Linked DNA regions of Ovis aries. The protein of the gene in region 2 binds, or shares a complex with, the protein of the main gene of each other region. Links are inferred from orthologs where the notes say so. Each region holds a gene or a part of one and is shown on either strand. Other genes may lie near its edges. The genes, in order: RHOG and DOCK5.

Evidence for each region.
Region 1: the proteins of DOCK5 (region 2) and RHOG are in contact, whole or in part, in a cryo-EM structure (PDB 8XM7), measured with the Homo sapiens proteins. The link is inferred for Ovis aries from reciprocal best matches to the Homo sapiens genes DOCK5 and RHOG. Residues at the interface, in NP_079216.4 of Homo sapiens: Val232, Phe345, Asn393, His394, Lys395, Gly396, Trp400; in NP_001656.2 of Homo sapiens: Ala121, Pro123, Leu126, Arg127, Arg128, Lys130.

Annotation. Positions count from the first base shown.
Region 1 is NC_056068.1:49,994,037-49,998,539, forward strand, and holds the start of RHOG (rho-related GTP-binding protein RhoG), read left to right. Parts: upstream 1-1,664; 5' UTR 1,665-2,274; exon of another isoform or gene 2,275-2,292; intron 2,293-4,503.
Region 2 is NC_056055.1:40,505,782-40,510,212, forward strand, and holds the start of DOCK5 (dedicator of cytokinesis protein 5), read right to left. Parts: upstream 2,900-4,431; 5' UTR 2,718-2,899; coding exon 2,675-2,717; intron 1-2,674. UniProt on the Homo sapiens protein: Guanine nucleotide exchange factor (GEF) for Rho and Rac. GEF proteins activate small GTPases by exchanging bound GDP for free GTP. Along with DOCK1, mediates CRK/CRKL regulation of epithelial and endothelial cell spreading and migration on type IV collagen.

The DNA.
Region 1 (4,503 bases), on a different chromosome or scaffold from region 2:
TACTGATTACATGTTGAAGTTGAATGACAATATTTTGCATATGTTGGGCTAAGAAAAATATATTAGTAAAATTAAAATTTACCTGTTTCTTTTTAATTTAATTGGGGGAAGGACTTACAGCTGGTGGGGTCTTAGTTCCTTGACCAGGGACTGAACGGGTGTCCCCTGCAATGGAAGGGTGGAGTCCTAACTACTGAACTGCCAGGGAATTCCTTCTTTTTACTTTAAAAAAAATGTCAGCACTAGAAAATTTTAAGTTACATATGTGGCTCACATTTCGACTAGACAGCACTGGGAGAGACTACCAAGTGCAAGCCAGAGGTGGCGTGTGTGTGTGTGTGTGTGTGTGTGTGTCTCGTTGGAGGCAGTGATCCATTGTGAAAGGCTGAGTCTATTTCGCCAGGCAGTCAATACAGAAGTTAGGTGGAAGGAATAGAATGCACAAAGACCCAAAGATATGGGCAGGCACGTTGTGTTTTGGGAACTCATTCTTACATTAACACGATTTTTAAAAAGAGGAAAAGAAGCATTTGGAGTGTTTACTGTGAGCCAGCCACTGGCAGCAGGCCTTTTACATCCATTCTCATCTTCACAACTGCAGGATGAAGGGGATGTCATTCTAAATTGCCAAAGATAGAATGGAGGCTCAGAAAAGTTGAACAGTTTATTCTAAGAGTTGTTCTTCCTCTTTCTCTGGAAAGCCTCTTGGAGACAAGGAGCCTTTCGTTAACGTCTCTGTTTTCCTCCACAGCACCTAGCACGCAGCCCTCCACGTGGTAGGCACTCAGAAAGTTTGTGTTGGACGAAGAATATTTTCTCAAGTCAGAGCTCCACGCGCAAGGCCTAAGAGCAGAAGCACCAGAGGGCGCCCACGAGTCCGCCCACCCGCCCATCCCCAGGGCCCCGGCAGGATTCAGGACTGGGTGCGGTCCTTCTGTCCCAAGCAGTTGCGCGCCCCAGCGAGAAGAGGGGGCGAGGGGAGCCCCACGTCCTGGCCCCGCCCCGCTTCTTCGCCGGAGCCCAGGCGCGCGGAGCCGCCGGGTGCGGAACGACGACACGACATCCTGTTTTTGGGGCCCGCGGCTCCGCCTGCGCCTCTGCTGATCTTGTCTTTCCCCGGGTGCTGACGCCAGCTCCCCTTCCCCCAGTCTCCGCACCCTTCCCAGGGGTCTGGGGCCTTCCCACTGCTGAATCACCGCCACCCCGCGCTCCCCCGGGGCTCGGGGCAGGGGTGGGGACTGTCCCAGCCGGACCCATTCTGGCCAAATCCCAGCCTGGGCCATCGCTCGATCCCGGGGCTTGACTGAAGGCACCAGGCCTAGGGGCGCCCGTTCTCAGCATCTTCTCGCAGGGGTGGGTGGGGGCAAGATACGGTGAGAGGGGCACAAAATCCAAGCGCCTAGGCTAGGGCCTCTGCTGGGCTGCGGGTGGCAAGGAGACTGGGAGGACTGACCTTAGACGCCCTGACCTAAAGGGCCTCAGAGGTAAAGGGCTGGGGTGAGGGAGCCAGCACCCGGCCGGGGGCCAACCGGCTGGGGGCGACCTGGGGTGGGGGGGACCGGCCCGCGGACTTCCTGGTCGGGCCCCGCCCCGGCCCGGCCCGCTCCCGCGCCCCGCCCCGCCGGCGGGCCCGCCCCCCCCACTTCCTCCGGCCTCCCGCTCTCACTTCCTTCTCGAGCCCCGAGCCGCTGCCGCCGCCCCCAGCTCCCCCGCAGCGGGGAGGGCACCAGGTGAGGCCCGGCCCCGGCCGGCGGGCTGAGGGTCCGGGGGAAGGGAGCCCGGCCGGCCCGGGACTGGACGCGAGCGCAGGCCCGGGAAGTTTGGCTTCGGGAGGCCGCGGCGGGAGGTGCTCGGCTCGCTCCAAGTTGGGCGGGTGCGGCCGGCCGGGCGGGGCGGGGACGGGCACGGGCCACTGCGACCCGGCGACGGCTCCGGGAGGGTGGGGGTTCCTGTACCGATGGCGGCGATACCGGCCCCCGGGAGCCGCGAGGGACTCCTGAGGTCGGAGGGGCTCCCGCTCCGAGAGAAAAGTCTCTTGAGGGGAAGAGCTCAGAGCTGGGAGATGAGACTCAGAGATGGGGTGCCCCCAGGAGTTGCGGGAGGGCTGTTCTGAAGTGTGTTGAGGGGAAGGGGCCCCTGGGCTAGAGAACTCCTCTGGCAGTTGTGACACTTGTGAGGTAGAGAGAGAGGCTGTCTATTGCCTCTGAAGCCCTGGGCTGCGGAGAAGGAGCTCCTTCGCTGGAAGATCAAGGCCAGTCCAGACTGCAGCCCAAGGTCCTCTGTGCTCAGGAGGTGGGGGAACCCCGGTCGACCCTAGTGCTTCTCTCTGTGTGTCTCTGTCTGAAGCAAAACCTCTCCATCTCTGGAACGGAGAAACAAGTATTGTAGTGAGCAAACATCGGCTGTGCCTAGCTGGCCGATGCCTGCCACTGCTCATTGGCGGGGTAGACGGAGGAAGGAAAGGAACCAGGTCTTCCCCTGTTACAGAAGTGGAAGGGCTCTTACTCGGAGGTGCTGATCATCCTTAGCGAGAGGGCCTCACTGAGAGCAGGACTGTTTTTTAGGAGATGGAGAGAATAGGGCTTCTGGGAGGCCACAAAGACTCTAGCCTTGGAAAATGATGAGCCATCTCCTAGTCTTCCCTCTCCCCCATTGTTAGTCCCTGAATTCTACATGTTATTCTGTCTTCCTCCATTCCTTCTTCAGACTCTACCCGCGAACCCTTTGTCACCCTCTTCTCGTATCCTCTTCAGTTGCTTTTTCCCCAAACACACAGTCATGCCTGGCCCCTGACCTCTCCCCTGCCCTGCTTCTCTGTCCATCCTTGTCCTCTCCCTGTGGCCTCCCTGCTCCCTTCCTTGCCCAGCTTCTGGCTCCGCACACATATCCACCCTCTTGATTCTTCCATCTGCCCTCACTGTGATGGATCCCTGTCTTCTTCCCTTTCAGTAATGAATCTCCCGCTTTGGGGAACTGGACCACCCTAGTTCAATGAGGTGGGCTGCAGCCTCCCCTTGATAAAAGTGATGAAGGGTTTGGAAAACCTGTAGATGTGTATGTGCGTGCAAGTGTCTACATGTACATATCTTTATCTTTTGGAGACAAAATAACTGCCCTCAGCCTTGAGAGGGCCCAGAGCAGGGGAAGCCAGCAGAATGAAGGGAACCTGCATTGGGTGAGGTTGTGGTTAGGTAGGAGGAAGCAGTCTGTAGCATTCGGAGTATCAGGGTAGAGTGACACAATATTGAATAGGACTGGTGAGAGAGGCCGTGGGAAATCAAAATCTCCCAGACCCTTAGGTGCTTGGTCAAGAGGCCAGGCCTGGAGCCTGGGGGACAGCCTAAAAGTCCCTGACTCCATTGCTCACTTGTTCCAGCACCTCCTGGTGGGGAGAAGGGGACCAGGTCAGCTAGGTGTGATGGAAGGAAAGTACAGGGTTCAAGAGGGAAGACTATGGCTGGTTTAACTTCAATCTTAAATGTCTTAGTTCCAGTTCAGGAAAAAAAGAGGGGTATGAGGCAAAGGTGTCTGCCTGCTCTTTCCTGCTGCTTTCAGGGCCTGCCCAGGCCAGATTCCACGTGCCCTGGGCTGCATCAAAGCCTTGGTGACCAGGAAGCTCTCTAGAGTTCTGCTTACCCCTCTTCCTCAGGCATCCTTAATATTCCCCCTCTCACCTAAGAGCTTATTCCCTCTCTTTTGGGAGTTTCTTCCAAGTCTAACTGAAATCCAGCCTGGCTCTTTGTAAGCCTTGCTGTCTCCATTCTAGAGCCTTTGGGATGCATGCTGAGAGATCATGCTTCCCTCTCTTCTCAGGCCTACTCTGTTCATTTCTCTCCACTAGAAGAGAAGTGGAGGAGAGCAAGTGCTACTTTTGTGGGATTCCCAAGCACAGCTAGGTTTAAGGGCCATTCCTGTACCCCATTATGTCTCCTTCCCTTCTCACAGTTGTCTGTTCCCATGATTGTTTCCTACTGACATTCTGGGAGGTATAGAGTTTTGGCCCCAGCAGGAAGTCCCAAGGACCTGCATAAAAATCCCAGCTCAAGGGAAGACATATATGCAAGGAATTTCCCAGCATCAAGGCTCAGTTAAAAAACCACCCAGGAGTCCTGACTTCCCACCTACCAAACCAGTACTTATTTTAGATAACTGAGCAACCGACAGGATTCTAAGAGAAAAGATAGGATGGATGAAACAGGGGTTCTCCCAGACAAGACCTGGCCCCACTGAAGATTTGAGCTAATTGCATGAAAGTCACCACCGGAAAAATATAACCAAGGTGCAGGGAATCTAAGTGGGGAAATATTTTGCAGAGGGTGGAGGTGAGGAATATGTACCTGCTGTAGGAGGCTGCCATTGAGGTCTTGGCTAAAAAAACTATGGTCAGGGTCTCTTGACATGAAGAGAAGTGACTCAGGTCAAGATCCTGGTTGAGAATCTAGGATACGGAGAGTTGTTTCTGGCAAGATGTTACGACAGATGAAGTGGCTGGCGTAAATTTTT
Region 2 (4,431 bases):
AAAGTCATACTAGAGTGAATGAGATGTTAAAACCTAAGAGGGGAAAAAAAAAAAACTGCACTAAATTGTAGAAATCAGGTTGGTGCCTTAGAATGTCACACCAACGCCAAGGACAAGCAGTTACTGAATGCATGCTCTCTACCCGTATACCTCTAGTCCCAAGGATGCAATACCATAACCTTCTGATTCACTGAACCAAAGGTTAAGTAATAAAATGTAGGAATGTTGAGGAAGCAGCGTACCCTGGGTGAAAGGCCAGATTATGGGATTCAGAGGTGGAAGGGCACTCGGAACAGGGGACACGCATAGGAGCGAAGAGTCCCAGAGGAGGGACTCTCCGTGTACAGCACAAGAGGGAGAGGGCAGCGTCTGCGTTAGAGGGTTGATGAGAGAAGCGGTGAGAGATATGCTTTATGAAAACATACTGAGCTGGAGTCTTAAAACCTTGAAAACTGGGCTCGGTTTAGACTTTACCCTGCTGGCCAAGGAAGGCTTCCCAGCAGGGAGCTAGCATGATCACCATGTGTCTTGGGAATAAACAATGGACACTGATCCCATAAGCTCATCTGTCCTAACAGTGGGCCTTTTTATCAAACCCAGATTCATCACAATCTATTGTGTCGGCAACTCTGGTCAAAGTTATGTGGCAGCCTGGATGGGAGGGGAGTTTGGGGCAAAATGCATACATGTATGTACATGGTTGAGTTCCTTTGCTGTCCACCTGAAAACTATCACAAATACTGTTAATCACCTATACTTCAATACAAAATTAAAAGTTTTGTGTGTTTTTTTTTTTTGAAGTATCCATTGTGTCTAGGGAAATAAATTTTCTAAATGATACTCTGGGGCAATTTTGCCGCTACCTATACCTTTGAAATGCAATTCAATTTTCTTGACTGATGATAAAAATTAAAAAGAGAAAATACCACTCTTGTTACTATAACTATGGAAATAAAACCCATGTTTTTAGGATATGTTTGCCTTAACTATGCTAAACTCAGAATACTTTTGGAGAGAGTTTCTCCTATTAAACAAAATTAGAATTGATAATTTTTTGTGAGAAGTGTTGACTAGGCATTGCTAAATATACTTTCATCTAGGAGTTAGTACCCAGTTAACACAAACAAAGAAATTAGCTCCATCTGACTCCCAGAATTATTGGCTACTTACTAACTGGCACCTGAAAGCTCATGACCAAAGTATTAAGCAGAACTACAATCACAGAAGAGTGCAAGGATTCTAAAAGAAATTTAAAGGAAAAAGTTTTTGCAAAGGAAAAACAAGGAATCCTGTGCATATTATTGTATACACACACATATAAATATATACACGAGGATCACCATCTCAAAGTAATAAATATGAAAGAGTTGGTTTGTTTCTTTGTAACTGAATCAAGTCTTCCCAGTTGAAAAGCCCCTAGAGATCTCTCACTGAAACTGACAAAGCCGTCAGAAAACATAGAATAGGTTCCTCCCACTAAAGTGAGGGGGTAAAAAAATGCGAGCGAGATGGTAGTTAAGCCGAAGACTTACAAATATGCCCAATGAACGACCCTGAAAGGAAGTGATAAAATTCTCAACTGTGTTTATACTAGGGAATCGCCCCCAAGCCTAAAGCCACTTTAATCGCCCCACTAACAGCAGTCTTTCCACAAGACCTAAGCAACCTCACTCCTCGATAAAAAGTGGAAAGACCAAGAGTTTTCACCTGGGTTAAAGCCCCGCTCAACCACCGTTTCGGATCGAAAACTAACACGAAAGCAACCTCCTGCACATCCTGCCGGCCCTTCCAGCACCGCTGTTCGAAACGGCCAAGTGCCTAGCACAGGACCTGTCACAGTGTTCCCAGTAAAATGTCCTTGTCTTATCCCACGGCGGAATGGGGATTCAGAAGGCAGTCGGAGACCGTCTCCACTCACGCTTGGGTAGAGGACGACAGTCCGCACCAGCAGCCGCGGGGGCCAGCCACCCCCGCTCCCATACCACACACTTCCTGCCGCTTCCATCACCTCCACACCACAGCTTGAGTCTCCTGACCAGTTTACAACTGCTACAGGGATCCCTGTGCCTGGGAGGAGTTGGGAGAGGACGGCTCCCTACCGCCCCCCCGCAACAGCCCCCCCACAAACTCTTCACTTGGGGCCGCAGGGAGAACCTAAGAGCAAAGGCAGGAAGCGCTGGGGCAGCCCGCCGACTTCGCGTTCCACGGGCCTCGGCCGGTTACAAAGAACTGAATGAAGCTACACGGGCCGGAGCGGGCCGGTGGATTGGGGGACAGTGGGCGCGAGCACCGCGGCAGGGCGCCCCAAATGAAGCAGAGCGAGCGCCCGGGCTTTGCACGTTTCTACTCTGCAAAGCGCTGCAGCCTTGGGAGTCGGGGGGCAGGACAGCCAGTCCGGAAACCAACTGCACTTTTAGACACTCGGACTCCCCAAACTCAGAATGACCCCCCACCCTCCATGAGGCTCCCGGAGCGGGCTCCGGCTCACACCGCTCCCAGAACGAATGGGGCCCAAGCCGAGCCTTGGCGGCGCCCCGGCGGGTAGCGGCAGCCCGGTCCCGGGCAGGCGCGCACCGAGTGACCGTGCGTCCCCCGCCCAACTTTGCACCCGGCAGGGCCGCTCCCCCGAACTTGGCGGCGGCGGCGGCGGGGACGGGGTGGGGCGAGTACTCACCAACCCCATACTTCTGCCGCTTGGTCGGGATCCAGCGGGCCATGGCGGCGACCTCGCCCCGCGGCGGCGGCTGCGGCGGCTACAGCTCCTGGGGCTCGGACCGCCACCGCGCTGCGCACCGGCGCGCCCCGGGCCCTTCCGCCATGTTCCGGCAAACTTCGCTCGGCCCCGCGCGCCGCGCCGCCAGCTATACGCTCCGGCTCACACCGCGAGCCGCGGTCACCTGCTGCGCCCGGCAGCCACGCCGCCGTGCGCGCCCCTCCCGGCGCCGCCTCGGCCCCTCCCGCTGGCCGCGCCCTCCGCCCGCCAAGGCCGCCTCCGCGACACGACCCGCGGGCGCCGGCCAGCCAAGGTCTCCACGCTCTCCCGGGCCCAGGCCGGCTGCGCCTTGCACACTTCCCGGGAGCAGTTTCCCAGCACAGACTGGGGTACGGTTTTTTTGGTGTGTTTTTGTTTTTTTAAATCCTTTTAGTGTTTGGCTTCTTGCCCCTCGCCGTCCCCAACCGGGCTAAACCCTGGAGCCTGGATCCCCGGCGGCGGGGTGTCGGGAGGGCTGCGCTCGAGGGGTCGGGCACCCCCAGGCGGAGCAAGCGGGAGTAGATGCGGAGTCCTTCCTCACCGCGCGCTCTGCAACATCTAGGGGAACTAGGATGAGTGCATAGGATCTAAGATAAGTCGTTTCTAGCCGCCCGGGCTCTCGCAGTGCCAGGCACTCAACCGGCGCTCGATAAATATTTGTTGAATGAATGAGCAGCTGACTACTGCGTTCACCCCCTAGAGCTTTCGTTGTCACCACAAGAGCCGGAAGCCGGACTCCAAGGCAAACGTGATCTCCTGTGGCCATGGTTCATAGCCTTCAAAGCAGGAACATTTGTCTTCTGGTAAATAGAGAACTAATGGGAAGGAGCCGGGCTCCTCAGAAGTATCAAGTAGTTTCTTAGGGGAGCCCCTGAGCGAGAATTATGTAGCGAGTTCTGACTTGGAAATCTTATGTCCCCGGAAAACACCTGGGCTCCTCCCCAGCTGAAGAGACTCAGACCCAGCTAAAGAAATTTAGACCTACATGGTCCAGGGGAAAGCCCGCCCCAAAGACCTCCCTTTTCCAGCAGCCCTAAGAGTGTTCCTGCGGGGAAGGGGACGAGCACATCCGAATCTTTCCTGTTCACTAGCTGCACTGTTCAGAGTCAAACGCAGGGACTGCACATTTGAACAGCCCTGAGCTGTTGGCGTCCTCTGAAACTCTCCTCCTGGAACTCACTTCCATCTGGAGAGACCTCAAGAATGAAGATTGGATCCGAGTCCCAGGTGGCTGTGGGGCTCCTTGCTACCTAACCCATAGAAGTAAAATCTCAGAGTAAATGACCAGCTGATTCGGGTTCACCATCTGAGAAAAAGCCTCTTGAAATTGCTTTGTTCTCGCAGCCTATGAAGATTTTCTTGCCGATTTCGAATGTGAAAGGAAAATGAAATAAACACGTAATAAAAAAAAGCAAAACTTCACTGAAAACGGTGCATTTTAACTTTGGTAACTTTTTGCAAAGTCAGATCTGAATTTTTTTTAAGGTTTTGTTAATGGTGGGTAACTCTACGTATTTATTCATCAAATATAATAATAATTTAAGAAATCTAGTCACTTATTTAGACAACATTCAGAAGGGATTCCATCATCTCTCCCCCAGATTTCTTTTCCTCTGCTAATGACATCATGATTAACCTAGCTTCCCAGGTTAGGTAATTTTTTTTCTTTTCTCAAATTT